2 linked regions of the Drosophila melanogaster genome follow. The protein of the gene in region 1 interacts with the protein of each later gene in a pairwise test. Each region holds a gene or a part of one and is shown on either strand. Other genes may lie near its edges.

The links. The genes of interacting proteins can lie anywhere in the genome.
Region 2: the proteins of CG9993 (region 1) and Hex-A interact in a two-hybrid assay, tested with the Drosophila melanogaster proteins (one large-scale study listed by BioGRID).

Annotation. Positions count from the first base shown.
Region 1 is NT_033778.4:20,848,592-20,856,182, forward strand, and holds CG9993 (uncharacterized protein), read right to left. Parts: upstream 3,535-7,591; 5' UTR 3,458-3,534; coding exon 3,115-3,457; intron 3,057-3,114; coding exon 2,858-3,056; intron 2,796-2,857; coding exon 2,676-2,795; intron 2,618-2,675; coding exon 1,648-2,617; 3' UTR 1,555-1,647; downstream 1-1,554. Other genes in the region: CG17999 (uncharacterized protein), read right to left, coding at 1-381, 520-642, 705-897, 967-1,312.
Region 2 is NC_004354.4:9,582,706-9,590,562, reverse strand, and holds Hex-A (hexokinase A), read right to left. Parts: upstream 4,674-7,857; 5' UTR 4,345-4,673; coding exon 2,719-4,344; 3' UTR 2,162-2,718; downstream 1-2,161.

The DNA of each region.
Region 1 (7,591 bases):
TTGCTCAGTCCGCCCATCTCGGACAGCCCATAGCCCACAACAAATCTCTGGTTACCAATCAACTCGTACATCCTGCGACACACCGCCTTGCACACTTTAGATCCAGCTCCAATCAAAACCCGTATGGATTGGAGCTGGGCCTTCAGTTCCATCACATCACTGTCATGCTTGGATAGCAGGGCAATCTGATGGGAGGCCAGGAACAGAAAGGTCACCTTGTGCCTCGCCACCAGTTGGAGCAGGTACTCCACGCTGTATGGACGATTGGTGATTATGCGACGACAACCATTGAGGAGCGAGGCCAGAAGGATTATGGTTCCCGATATCCAGTAGAGGGGACTGAACGAGAGCAGCACGCTATCTCGGGTGTAGGTGTTCGGACTGTAAGGAGATAGTATTATTCCTCATAATATTAATAATTGAAAATATATAGTAATCGTTCTGATTGCTTAGAAATTGTATCATAAATATATGGAAAAGGTGATATCCAAGAAGATGGCAGGTTAAATGAAAACATACTTCTTGCAGTTACAGAGTAAACTTCGATGGGATCGAGTGACGCCTTTTGGCATTCCCGTGGTTCCCGAGGAGCACACAATGAATGCGGTGTGATCGCCGTGTAGTTTTGGACAAGGAACATACCTAAAATTAGAAAACATCTATTAGAATTGATTTAGTTCATCGCGAAATACACAGAAACTTACGCGGCTGCTGTAATGCTGTCTTCATCATTTAGCATCTCGCTTATGTCCAGCACTCCTTCTAATTTTCCATTGACCAGATAGATCTTGGCGGGATTTTGTAGTTTTCCATTGACCGTCTTTATTATATGGTAGTTTTCTACATCGCAGAAGATAACCTTCGGCTCGGTAATGTCGTACATGTATTTGACAGTCTCTGAAAGGGAATTTAATTTCATCATAATAGTAAGCATACTAAAGTAAGTACAGGAGTTTTGAACCTCACCTTCAGTAAACTCCGGATGCAGTGGATTAATGGGGATGCCACGGAGCAAAGCCGCAATTATCACACTGGTTAAATACGTCGAGTTATTGGCCGATATGCCAACGACATCGCCCCTCCGTAGACCCAATCTCTTGAAGGCCTGTGCTATGCGGGCACTCTGCTGAGCCAACTGAGCACCGGTGAGCTCCTGACCCGTGGTATCACATATTTGCATCACCTGATCTGCGTTAATCTGCAGCACGCGCATGATGACCTCGCCCAGGGTCATTTCTGGACCGTAGAAGTCCTTGCCACGCGGTCCAAACCAAGTCCGCGAAGCGGCATCGTAGTGCACCTCACAGCTCATAGTGTTTTCCAACGTCCGGCGATCGAATAAGTGCTTTATTGCGTCTCATTTGGGTTTTATATGGCTCGGGGAGTACGGAAAACAAAGTGGAGCTGTTAATTAGTAGGACACGGCAAGACATCGATGCTTGTCGCCAGTGTCAACTAAAATAGATGCTGATTTACTCATTGGCAAGTCGGAGCCGCCTCTGTTTTCCGCTAATCAAATCGAGCCGTCCAGCAGACATGGAAACTTTTTAATTTCTTTCACAGTTCTTGTGATGATTCACTGTGTTTACATTTATTAAACACGATTATAAACAACTCATGTATTGTATATTTAGCATAAATCTTATCTCACAAATGTGTGGTTGCCTCGCTCAACTGCGACCAGATCTTCCTGCGCTGCACCTTACTGTTCTGCGTCTTCGGCAGATTGTCCACAAAGAAGACTCCTCCGCGGATGTGGAAGGCATCGCTTAGATGTTGTGCCACAACTCCCTTGACATCCGCCTCGGTCAGCTGGGCACCCAACTCATCCTCATTCCGAACCACTGCACAGGCTGTAAGATTGGTGGACACCTCATCGGGAATTCCGAAGACAGCCACTTCGTGGACTCCGGGCAGATGGAGAATCACGTCCTCGATCTGCTTGGGATAAATGGGGAAGTGATTGTACTTGAAGACATCGGTGTCACGGGACTGAAAGTGCAGGCAGCCCTCATCGTCAAAGTATCCATGATCGCCGGTGAGCAACCACTTGCCGTCGGGCGTGACGGTCACCTGGGTCTCCTGCGGATTGTGATAGTAGCCGCCCCAGCGAAGGTTGAGCCGCACCAGGATCTGGCCCGTCTGGTTGGGGCCCAAGGACTGACCGTGTGGGTCTACCACGCGAACCTGGACATTTCGCAGCAACCTGCCCTCGCTGCCCAGTGGACCTCCCACATTCTTGGAGATTCCTCCGGTCTCTGTGAGACCGTAGAGCACGGCGAATCTGTTCGCACCCAGTAGCTCGTACAACTGCCGCCAGATGCCCATCGGTACCTTCGAGCCACTGCACACGAAGGACTGAACACACTGCATCTTGGCTGCTAGCTCCTGTCTCTCTGGGCTCTTGGCCAGCAGAGCCATGTGGTGGGGCACTGTGAGCACAAAGCTGACCTGGTGTCGTTCCACAAGGTCTGCAAAGTACGCCACGCTGAAAGGACGATTGGTGATGATCCTGCGACATCCATTGACCAGCGAAGCGAGCAGTGTGAAGATACAGCTGATCCAATAGAGCGGACTGAAGCAGAACAGCACTGTATCCGAGGTAAAGAGCTGAGGGCTGTTTAATATCCATTAGGGGTCATATTTTTCAAATGCTCTTGCCACATTCTACTCACATTTTGGCACTGTTCAGCAGACTGCGATGCGAACGGGTTACGCCCTTTGGCAAACCGGTTACACCCGAGGAGGTGATGATGAAGGCCGTATCATCGCCACACAAATGCGGGCAGGCAAAGCTGGAAGATCAGGACTAGCTTGAGGGTTCTTTCTTTGAACTTCTGGTTTCACATCTACATACAGTGTTTTCTCATCGTATCCAGTGCAGCCATCTGCAAGCAAATCCTGAATGTTACGCACTCCAGGCAGAGTTCCAGTGAGCAGAATGATCTCCGTCTTGAACTTGAGACTGCTTTTGACCGCGCTCAAGGTCTGGTAGTTGTCCAGGTCGCAGAATATCACCTTGGGCTTCGTGATCTCGAACATATAGGCCGTGGTTTCTGTGTATAAAGTTGTGCATTTAACGAGTTATATAAATATATATCCGATTTCTTCTACCCGCATCGAAGTCCGGATGCAGTGGGTTGATGGGTGTGCCATTCAGCAGGGCTGCGATGACCACTTCGGTGAGATAGGTGGTGTTCTTGGCCGAAATGCCAACCACATCGCCGCGTTGCAGCTTCAATCGTTGAAAGGCGTGGGCCAATCGACGACTTTGCTCCAGCAACTGACTACCGGTGAGCTCCTCGCCCGTGGGATCATACACCTGCATCACCTTGTCCGAGTACAGACGCAGGATGATCAGTGCCACCTCGCCCAGCGTCATATCCGGACCGTAGTACTCCTTGTCCTTTGGCCCAGACCATATCTTCTCAAAGCTGTCGTACTTGGTGGACGCCATTTGGCTCTCTCTGCGTTCTGGATTCCTTTTGGCCGTTCGATTGGACAAAACACAACTTTCGTACACATCAACTGAGTTTCGGCGAGAGTGGCCTGGCCTATATATACAGTCGGCACTCGGGAGGTGCTAGAACTAGATGTTCGATCTGCTAATTAGTTCGACACGTTCTCCATGCCCACATACACATACCTTCTACCCGCTTCCATGGGCAGCGCTCCTAATGAACTTTGCCGACTGCTGGCGCTGCCAAATTATCAGGTGAGTTTGGGTGCACCTCATGGTTACTGAGATTGGTACCAAAAAGGATGTCATAGGACAGCTATCTAGCTTTAGAAAGTAGGATTCCCAAGTAGTCCTTAGTTACTTCTAAGGATCACTTGAAAATGTGTTTCTTTAAAAGAATTAGATAAGGATCCTTAGTCTTCTATATTCATTCCATTTCACATAGCTTCCAACCACTGTGCCAGTTGGAACTCAGTCCATGGCCGTTGCATGGCAATTGCATAATTTCCACGATTTAACACGGTTTGAGCTCCGTTCACTTTTGCCCATCTCTGCTCCCTGACTGCGCCCGCTCCATTTCCTATATCCTTGCCATATCCTTGCGCTGCGGCTGTCTCCACGTGCCACGATTCCTGGTTCTTGTTGCGTCTGTCCGTCTGGCCAGGTGAATGGATATATACGCATCGCAACCGTACTCGTATTCGTATAACTGCCATGTGCAACCGCAGAGAGATAGAGTCGCATCCTTGATGGGCACACGCTTCATTTGCGTGCTTAGTTAGGAAATCAAGCGTATGGCTGCAGAACAAGTGGGCGGACTGGCGGTGATGGGGCGGCACTTAAAATGCAAGGTGCATCCACCTGAATGGGGTGTGGGTGTTGGCTTAAACTTCGATTCGTGGCCGGGACTAAAAGTTGCCCAGCATCAGCGGGCGGAAGTTCCGGGGCGTTTGGAGATAGTTCGCCGGGCTGAGTGAAAAACTCGGATTTTGCCTGCCGCAGCTGGATTCATTGATTTCACTTAAATTCTTGTGATGCAAGAATAAACTAAATTAATTACACGGTCGGCAGAAATGTGCAACAAACCAGCTTTGGCTGAAGAGGTGCAAAAGTGGTGGCGCGCTCTGATCAGCGACTAAGAAAAGTTTTGCGAAACTTTTTTATGGCCATTTCATGACCCAATCTCGTCTTGGGAGCAAAACAGGGCTATTCTGCTGCTAGCAACTTGGTCCACATTTAACTAACTTCAAATCTCGGCAATTAACTGAAAGTCACCAGCCGGGGAACTGGAGACTTGGCAAATGTAATCAGGCTCAACATTATAATTAACCGCAAAATGCAGTTACGAGTCTATTTTTTTTTTTACCACCCACCCCACTGAACAACCTAGAGACTCCATTCCGCTGGCCGTCTATTAAAACTTTTACGACAAGTAGGCGAAAAAAAATTACCTAATTAAAATGATTGACTAAACAGAAAAGTTTGTGCGAAATCATTTTTGCTTTTTTTCCCCCCTCCGCCATCCGCAACTAGCTGGGCATACTTTTCCGGAACAATAGTTTCTTCCGGTTGTGGTGTGCTCCTCTATATATACGTACGTACGTACGTAAAGCTCGCCATCCCGTTCGCACAGTAGCCCTTGCTCTTTTGCGCTTATTTATTGTTTGCCGTTTGCCTGAAGGCAGTGAGATTTTTTCTGTAGGAAATGTTTGGAGTGGAGGCCTCCCCGCAAAAACCTTAGAGATGCGACAGCAGCTTGTTGTTCATCTAACAAATTAACGAACGCCTCGAGTCTTGTTGCGTGCTATTCCCCTCTCTTTCGCCCAGCATCTGCCCGTCTCTTTCCATTCCCTTTCGACCGGGGCAGAAAACTTTGAAGTGTTAATGAATTGAGCGGGATGGCGAGATGGGTGGGTAAAAAAAAAGGTGGGGGGAGGAGGGGTGCTGTTTTGGCCAGAGTAATGACCGTTGGCCGCTTTTGTGGTCGATTTTCTGGTAATTGAAGTTATGATTTAATTTAATTTACCGCAAAAGTGTTGACAGTTAGATAAGAATCAGGAGGAAAAGTCAAGGAAAAAAACGAAAAGAACACAGCTTGAAAGGAAGTAAGCTTGATATCCTTAAGGGTGGGAACATCATTAAAATCCTTTAAGTCCTTTAAAAAATATGTAACTTTAAGCTAAAAGATACACAAAATCTGAACTTATGCAGAACATCAACAAATGTCATTTGTAATTAAGATTTAAGTTGAATTGTTTAGAATAATTATAACAGCTTTAGATGTAATTTAAGTCTTTAAAAAGTCGTAACTTTAAACTCACAACTCGAACGTCATTAGGCATGTAATTAAATTAATTATCTCAAAGTCCCTCTTAGCTTCGATATATGCAAATTATATTCAAGGTGGTAAGCGGCAGTACAGCTGATTCGAGGACAGCCTGAATAATTCAAATGGAATTATGCAACGTGGCATTTAATAATTCACAAGTGAGAGATGTGTTTTAGGCGTCATTACAAATCGTTACAACACTAATAATCCATCCAAATGACTCATAAACAATTAATTAGAGCGCCTTATAGATGCTCTCGAGTGTTTTTGTCTGCACACACACGTCCGTAGACAAACACACACCCATATGCATAACGAATGTCCTGGAAAACGGAGGTCCTATTTTACTGCACTTTCCAAGTCGCCTGCCTGCATTTGTGTATGTGTGTGTGTGTGTGTGCTGGCCACAAAACCAATTACACACTCGATTCGAAAGCGTTTTCGCTATGGGCCCAAATCGGTGCATGGAGCATGGAACGGTTGGCGGGGGGCGTTGCGGGCCAACACTTAACCCTGAGGAAACTACGCATCTGTTTAATGGAGTCAACTGTGTGAATGGGGATGCCCCAATCCAAACTGCATGAGTCTGGGATGGGTAAGGTGGGTGGTGGGTAAGGACTCGATCCCCAAAGGCACATAAAAAGCATTTAATTTAAGCGTTGTCCTAATGTCTTTTATGGCAATAGAAGAAACTACTGAGCAGCTGCTATTATGTCTTTTAGATGTGCTTTTAAACCCGCTAATTCTTAATTGATACTTCGAATGCCAAATTAAAATCTTAAGTAGTCTAAGTTTCCACTTCTTAGCTGCCATTTATGTTTTATTCTTCTACGCAGCTGACTGTTTCACAGAGCTCATTTAAAGATTAAAGTTTTATATTTAAGCTATCCTACCATTTATTTCATTGACCCCATGTGTGTTTAGTGGCATGCAGCACTACCTACCTACCTGCTTTTTAACAGGATGTGCTTATCACTAGTGGGAGCCACTTGCAATTATAGTTTATCGCAGTCTTTTATTGTTCCCCACCATGCGCTCCACATTCATTTTTAATTTCACTTCCCAAAGCACTCAGAAACGGGTGTTAACTACAGATTTCTCACTCGTTTTAACGCCTCAGCCAAGCCATTATGCGATTTGCACCTGCTCGTCGCTGCCCCAGCAATGCAAAGTGAGTTGCCAAAAAATTTTAATTAGAAAATTCGCACATATGCACCTAATGTCCCCGTTAACGACGGCCTCCAACGGAAGTCAGCAGAGCAGCCAAACGACGAGGGCGGCAAATCGCCACTTTCGATTAAGCTCCTGCCCAGGACCAACCTGCGATTGTTGTCCCGCAACCGTGCCACCTGGGCCATCGACAAAAGCCATTCACAATTGTCGCCGCTTTTTGAATTGCAGCGCGGAGGCGCCTCTTTATGCGGACAGCAGAGTCCAGAATTCTAGAAGCGGGCCCAAATAGATTAACTTTTTATGACTTGAATGTAGGTATCTATTATGTTTATGCCATATGTCGTAATATTAACATTTTAATTTATTTTTTGTTAAGGGAAGGAAGAGTTATCATATTGAACGCTGCTGTTCGTTGAAGTGCCAGTGTCGTGGATGCGTAGGTGTTTGCACGTGTCCTTTGAAGCCAATTAAAATGTTCATTTTGGCGGATTTTCTTTGTTTTTAGCAGCTCGGGAGGCTTGTGTGCCACTGCCAATTGATGGCTCATAATTGCTCATTAGCCCAACAAAGGGACGACGAAGAATTGCATTTTAATTACAGCGCACTTAAATTGAAACCAGAAGACCAAT
Region 2 (7,857 bases), on another chromosome or scaffold:
AATAAGCCCCCTTTTTGCCCCCTTCCAGCGCGAATCGATCGATGACTTTGGTGTTTATCGAACGCTCGCCTAACCGCCTCGCCGCCTCATCAGTCGTACCGCTCAACCCATTCCAGAACCGACCGCCCCCGCCACCAAATCCGTCGCCCCTTTATGCGATCAATGGCTCAATCAAGCCTTTTGTCTGCTGTGGATCGCAGCACTTGTAATTCAAATGCGTCAAACGAAAACCCGACTGCAAATGATTCAATTTAAAATGGACTACAAAAGCGGCGAAAAACTACGTAAGACTCAAGTGCAACGGCTGATTGCGGCACTGGAAATACCCTACAATTTAAGAGGGGATACGCACTATGTGCACTATTTTTAGCTCAAGTAATTCCTAGCAAAATACCCAAATATGTCATAATGCAATACAATACAAGAATATGAATGTTCTACTATATGAACATTATCCAAAAATATATATTATAACAAAAACACACACAGCTGAGCAAATAAATGGGAAATATTTTATGCACCGAATAAAACAAAACATCTGGCGAAATCGAAGTGCCCGCCTTTTGTGTAGGGCATTCAAGTAATATAAATAACAAAATTGAGCTAGCTAAGTGCTGACTGATTGTTATTGCCTCTGATGATATATAATTTTAGTCTGCAGCAACTATAGCAATAAAACGAGAATAAAGTTTTAAATAAATATATTGTACACCGTTATGTTAGGCCCAAAAGAACACGTATCACGTTTTGATTTGCTTCTCTGTTGTTTGGTTCAATCGTCTTTATTTTGCTTCACTGTTGACAAACATTCCATTTGTTTATATCATTTACTAAATTCATCTCATCTGCACTTTCAAGCCTTCGATTTGTGTTTGTTTGTTCTTAGCAATTTATGTTTGAATCGCCTTTTGATAACGAGAGTTTTTAATTGGTTTTCAATTTTCATTTTAACATGGGCTAAGTTTATATTACATTCTTCTTGTTTTTCGTTTTTTTCTTTCTTGAAAAATAGAAACACTGGTTCGCTGCTCCCGCCATTTATTATAACATATCTCTTAGGTTAGGCTCATTCTCCGCTTAGTATTAGACCAAAAAAATGTATCTTCGTTTTGCCTCAATTGCGAATTGTTTAAGTTTTTGTGTTGACTGAGCATGCCGGCCAGCAGCTGCAAAAATGATCAAATGATACCGAATCATATGGAAAACAGATCAAATCATACTGAAATCAATCTGGAAAAAACCTAATCACTTTGGAAAACCAATTAATTTGGGAGAAATAAGTAACAACTACTTGTGTATGAATTAAGAACAAATTTTATTTGCTTTCCATTTTGCTTATTTGCCTTTTAGCTTCTCGCATTCTCTTCGTTTGTTGTTCGTAAACAATAATTAAATATAATTAAGGGCTGCGTGGGTTGGGTTTTTTTTTTGGGGTGGGGGTATTATATTGGTTGTATTGCTGGCTTCTTCGACGACATTTAGAAACTAAGATAAGAACTAAACACTAAACTAGGTCAAATGTACAATTACATAAATAATAGCTCACAAAGTGCGTTTCTATATCAAAAGGAAAAAAAAAAACAGTTTATTTTTGTTTAGAGTTTACCTGCTTAAGTGTTAACAACAAACAAATTCACTAAACAAAGACAAGCAATACATTACAAAAAAAAAAATCAGTAATATAGTGGCTAAATATATCATATTTATATTTATATATATGTATGCAGTATTATCATATAACGCTTCGTAATAGGTTCTATATAAACATTTACAATTACAGAAAGGACACCGTAGCATTACCTAGTAATCCTCTCTCTCTTTCTCTCGCTCGCTCTCTCTCGCTCTCTTCCTTTCTATCCCTCTGTTTCTGTCTCTTCTCTAGCGGCTTGTTTTTTGTTGCTTTTTTCGTTTTCGTTTTTGCTTTAACAATGTGCGGTTTTACAGTTTCTCTTTCCGTTGTCCTGCAGGATATGCTAGAATGCTTGTAGCACAGTAGTATAACAGTTTCTTTTCTCACTTGCTCTTAAGTATCTCCGTTTTTTTAGGGGGGTTTCAGGGGTCTTTTGGGCAGGGAATTACCAAAAAAAATTTGTTGTTTCAATCGAAATCGAAAAGAAATTCGCTTCACAAATTGTACTATATATACGCAAACATATACATTATGTTTTTAGTGTGTGTATATTATGTTTTCTTGTAAAATATATATATATATAATAGCATAACAAATTTTCAACAAAAATCGAAAATCGATCCATAATCATTAAGCATAGTGTTTTTTCTTCTTCTTTGTTTTCTTTTACTAGGAGAGAAAGAGATAGAATGCCACAGATCTTCTGTCTCTTAGTGGGGGGGTTTCTGTTACGCTTGTGTTTGTAGTGAAAAACCTGGTTTTTGCCTAATTAAAATACTAAAGCCAAGTCGCGCCAACTCACAAATGCCCTACGTATGCACATATAAGTTTTTCGTGGGCTTTTCGATTACTTTTCGTCGTGGCAGCTTCATTTTTTCATATCGTTTGGCTATAGGGCTTTTGTGAGTTAGCGTGGCTCTACTGTAATTATTACGCATACGCCACCGTGGCCGTTTACTAGGTATTTCTCATTTGCTCTGCTGTTTTTGTGGTTGTGTGGGTGTGTTGCTGTATCTCTTAGGACTGCTCCAGCTGCTCCAGCGGCTCCTCCTCCTGGTTCCTGATCCAGCTCCAGCTCCCTATCCATCCTACTTCTTGCCATTGAGTATGTCTTCGCGACAGGCGACGGCCGCCACCAGGGCAGCTCCACGACCGGAACCGTCCTCGGACAGCATCAGATCGAAGGTGATGCCCGGCTTGATCAGCTGCGAGATCTTCTCGACCATCAGGTTATGGAACTTGGGATGGAAGCGGTACACACTGCCATCGACGCCCACCGTCACCGTTGGCTCGTCCATTTTGTTGATCAGCGTGGCAATGCCGGCGGACACCAGGTGGGCAGCCCGTTTCGAGACGCACTCGCAGATGTACCGCACATTGGCGCAGTCCCCGTCGGTGGCATTGGTCAGACCGAGCTCCTCCAGCACCAGGCGGCAATTGGTGAAGTTGCCTGGCTCGTCAGCTTCAATTTCGCTCACATACTTGGTGAAGAACAGTCCGCGGGTGTTTAGCACTTCGGAATCCTGTCCATTGAAGAGTATACCCGCCTGGGTCATCTTCACCAGCACCAGACGCACCAGCTCGCCCATATACATGCCCGATATCATCTTCTCGAACGTCTGCTTGCCCGGATTGATGCTGTGCACATCGATGTCCCGATCGAATTCGGTGCGCACAAAGTCCAGTGCGCCATTGTCGCCGAATGCGCCCCATTCCGTGTTGATCAGGACGTGCTTCTTGCGCGGATCCTCGGCGGCGAAGAGCTCCGCCTCCTCCACACGCTCCATATAGCAGGCATTTGCACCGGTGCCGACAATCAGACCGATCTTGCAGTTGTGATTCTTCCAGGCGCAGCTCATCAGCGTGCCAGTGGTGTCATTGAGTATGGCACACACATCGATCTGGACATCGCCGCGCCGTGCGATGGCATCCTTTAGCAACTGGACAACATCCTCGTTGACGACGCCAGCGCAGTTGAAGCCCTTGGTCCAGGTCTCCAGCAGGCCCTTGGTCAGACCCAATTGGCGCAGCGGGAACGAGAAGGTGAAACCGAGTGGCAAACGCTCCTTGTACACATTGTGCTCGGCCATAAAGTTGGACAGACATTCGGCGATGTGATCGAATAGCTGTGTACCCGATCCAATCATAATGTGCTGCGGTATGGCATAGATGCGGGACTCCATTTGAAAATCGTTGTTCTCCTGCAGATGGATGAGCAGCACCCGGAAGTTGGTGCCACCCAGATCCAAGGCCAAGAACTTGCCACGCTCATTGCCATTGGGCAGATCCTGCACATACGTTACGAAGCACTTGACATTCGCCTTGGGATGTGTATCCTTGGCCAGGCCGCGGCGCAGCTCGTGCAGGATGCGGTAGCACAGCTCCTGCACCTGTTCGTCCGTTAGAAGCAGCTGCTGACATAACTCGTGCACCATCTTACTTTTCTCTGCAGCGGATAAGAGTGCAATTTGCTGCGGGCTGTGAGTTGTAAGATTTGTGGTTGTGGCTGTTGCTGTGGTTGCATTTGTGGTCGCTGTCGCTGATTTTGTAGCTGCCGCCGTCGTTGTTGTAATTTTCTCTGTTGCACTCAGTGCCGCCCCCTGTGCCACGCCCACGCGGTCCGTTTCATCTAGCCCGCCACCGTTATTGTGACCATTCAGTTGGGCGCTATTTATGGACACGCTCTTCATCGCCCCGTTCAGCTCCCGATCCATTATTATGTTGGTGTTTTCCTGCTTGTTTTTTTTTTCCTTTTTTCTTTTTTGATTCTCTCTGCCTTTTTTCGGTTCTTTCTTGCTCTGGCTGTTTTTCTTCGATCTTATGCGCTTGCACTCACACGGCAAAAAAAAAACGTTTACAATTTTCGTATTCGATGTGCACACTCGCGTTGGCTTTTCTACTTGGGCATTTGCAGTGCAACCTTTTCGAGTTGGTTTCAATTTTGAGTCTTTGAGTGTCCACACACACGATTCTCGCTCTCGCCGTGTTTTATTTTCGTCCGCTGCACGCGTCCAAACGCTCGGAACGTTTTTTACGAAATTAAATTCACTCGCCGACTGGTGCTCACTTTTCGCTGTCGCTGCTGCTGCGCTGCCGGCGCCGACCGCGACTGCGAGCCGCGCTCACACTCTCACTCTCTCTCTCTCTCGCTCGCCGTGAAGGAACCTTGAAGGTCAAAAACTGAAAATCGGTTTTGGGGCGGCATGGTTGGAGATATGGCGTGTATATGTGCGACGCTGAGGGGTCCACAAATGGCATATTGATAGGGTGCGCGTGAGAGAGGGGGCGAGAGAGTGGCTATGAATGAGAATGAGTCAAACGCGTGTTTATGCGGAAACCCTTATGCGTCGCGTAAGCAATATCGTGATCACGCATTTGATAAACATTTTAATTTGTCATCTCAAATATAGTCAATATATTTCAGGCTTTTCTCTTCAAGGAAAAAAATTATTTTCTTAAGATGTTAATGGTTTAATTAATGTTAATGGTTAATGGTTTTGCATTTCTTTGACAAATTAAATTGGTCGCCTATTATCACTGTGTTAAATTTGTTTTGATATTAATTACGCTATTAACTAACTAATTTACAACATTTTTAAGAAATATCTCGTTCTTATCGTGCCATAAACGCGGAACTACAAGGGCCTGGCGGCGACGCTCTCTCTTTTTGCTTCCGCTTATGAGAGAGCCGCCTTTTGTCGTCGTCAGCAATTTGGCTGATATTGACACCCTACAAACTGTGGGGTGCAATGGAATTTCTGTGGCACAGAAATGTATTATATATTATATAAATATATAAGAAAAAACAGTTTTCTGATTTTGCAAACAAGTTATTAGAAAATATTCAGTATACGTTTATTACTCATACGCCACCTAGGCCCAATAAATTATCTCTTTTGTATTAAGCTCAAGCTAAACATGTAGACTGCCTTTATTATAAATTGTGTAAGGAAGAAGGTCAAAAGTAAGACCACAGGTACAGGTAAGCACCTGTACTATATTTACCATTGTGGGTCGCCAGTTAGTACGCAAAATTTTTTTATTTGATAGAGACACATGTATTTATATCCATTTAATGTCGGTAGCGCATTTAAAAGTAGCCAATAGGATTTTTCGTTGCTGCCTGCGTATTGGCTTCGTTCTTTGAACCCCCTGTTCGGCGCCGGGCCCCACCACCCGCTTTCCCACTCTCAGCGATCTCGCTCTCCCTCGGCATCGGTGTTAGTATAACAATGCCGTTTTAGATGAGAAAGAGCAAGGTTTACCCAGAAAAATGGGAGAGCAAGTTTGCGTAGCTGTTGACAGCTACCTTCCCCTCCCCAACTCCCCTACCATCATCGTCTCACCCGTTTTTACCGCTTCTTGGAATTCTCAAGTTCTAGCGACGCGTCAACATCCTCAAATACATATATCTTTGCATTTGTATGTATTTTTGTTCAGTGTCCGTGGGGCTCGTCTCCCCGCCCTGCCCTCTTTTGTGTGTGTACGTGCCGCCCAGTTTGAAGTTCCGCTCCCTCCTTCTCTCACTCTCTTCCCCTCTACTTCGCTCTTTCTGGCTCTCCATTCAATGGAATTTTGTTGTTTCATATTTTTGCAGCTAGATTTCATGTGCAATTTCCATTCGGTGCTGCGTTTTTGCATTGTTGTTTATGTCTTGTGATCTTTTTTGTTTTCCAGCATTTTTTCCAAAGAGGCTCGTCCGTAATTGCAACAACAACGAGTAGAGCGTTTCCAACTACAAGTGAGAGTGCATGTGAACATACAGGCTTACGAACGTATGTATGTCTGTATATCCATATGTTTGTAGGAATGTATGTGAGAGGGCATGTCTGCAAACGTGTGTGCTGGCATGTGGCCTCATAACTGTTATACAAGACCAGACACCAACAGTCGGGGGCCAGAAACTAGCACCTAGAAGTCAGCTGGCCATCAGTTTTCAAGAGAGCATTAAAAAGAGAAATCAACATGACTTTGAAATAATTGCCGAAAGATAAAACAAGAATTAAAAGATATATTTAATAGAGAATAATAAAAAATGATTAGTTCGCTAAGGCTTCTTCAACTAACCCCGTGTAACCACATTTTTTCACAGCGTTGCTAATTTCTCGGCCCTTGCTGTGCTCCTATTCCATTCACTCACACGCCCCCCGCCGGAAAGTGTTGGTACGAAATAGAAGAGGGCGAGAGTGCGATGACGTCTAGCTTAAAGCAGCTCCAACTACAACTCCCTCCGCCTCACGCTCTCTCCACTCTTCACTCTTCTTCTTTCACTTCCACTCCCACACATGCTGCTGCACGTGTCTTGCGAAATTATTTCGCCACAATAACAAAATCCATTAGTTGTTTACGGCAGTTTGGCGCAATAAAGCTCCAAAAATAAGATCCAAAAATCGCACAGTGCAAAGTGCATTAAAAATTCACAGACTTTTGACGATTTCAAAAAGTTATATTTTTAAAGAAAAGGGGGGAGCTTCTCTTTTTCACCGATGCGGGTGTGGGTGTGTGCTATCATAGGTGTGCTATGCATGTGTGTGGGTGTGTATTCTAGCTGGTGCGACAGAATTGATTAATTGTTTATCTGGCTCGCTTACACGTTCCGTTACTCAGGAACCAACAGACGTCAATAAATAAAAAATTGATACCACCACATGTGCAAATATTCAAAAACGAAGTGGTTAATACTCTTGAAGATCTTAAAGTATCCGTGCACTTCACAAAATTTGATTAGCTTAGGAATTATCATAGGTTATTTTTTTACAATGTTACAACTATTCATTTTTATTCAAATATACATTTTAGAGCCACAAATATTTCTGCATTTGAAGTGATCTACTTATATTAAATCATATAAATAGCTGAATATTTTTTAAAGAGTGTTTAATGCAATAAGTTTATAGGACCTTGCAAACAGTTTGCGAAATTCATGTTAATCGTTTTAAAGATACACTTGCAAATACAAATGTACATACATACGTATATAAAGTCCAATAGATTATAATGGCAAACGAGACAAGGAGTGGTTCTCGTAGTTGTTTCTTTTTCTTATCTACAGTTACGGAAATTGCTATAAGCGAACGTGAAAGAGGGTGGAGGTGATGGCAAGGGGAACGGGGATCAGTTTAAGGAGGCAGAAAAAGAGGCCAAGTCACTTGAGAGGGGGTCCAAAGAAAGGGGCGTGTCATTGAGTTGGTTCAAGTATAAGGGAAATACATATGTATATATACATA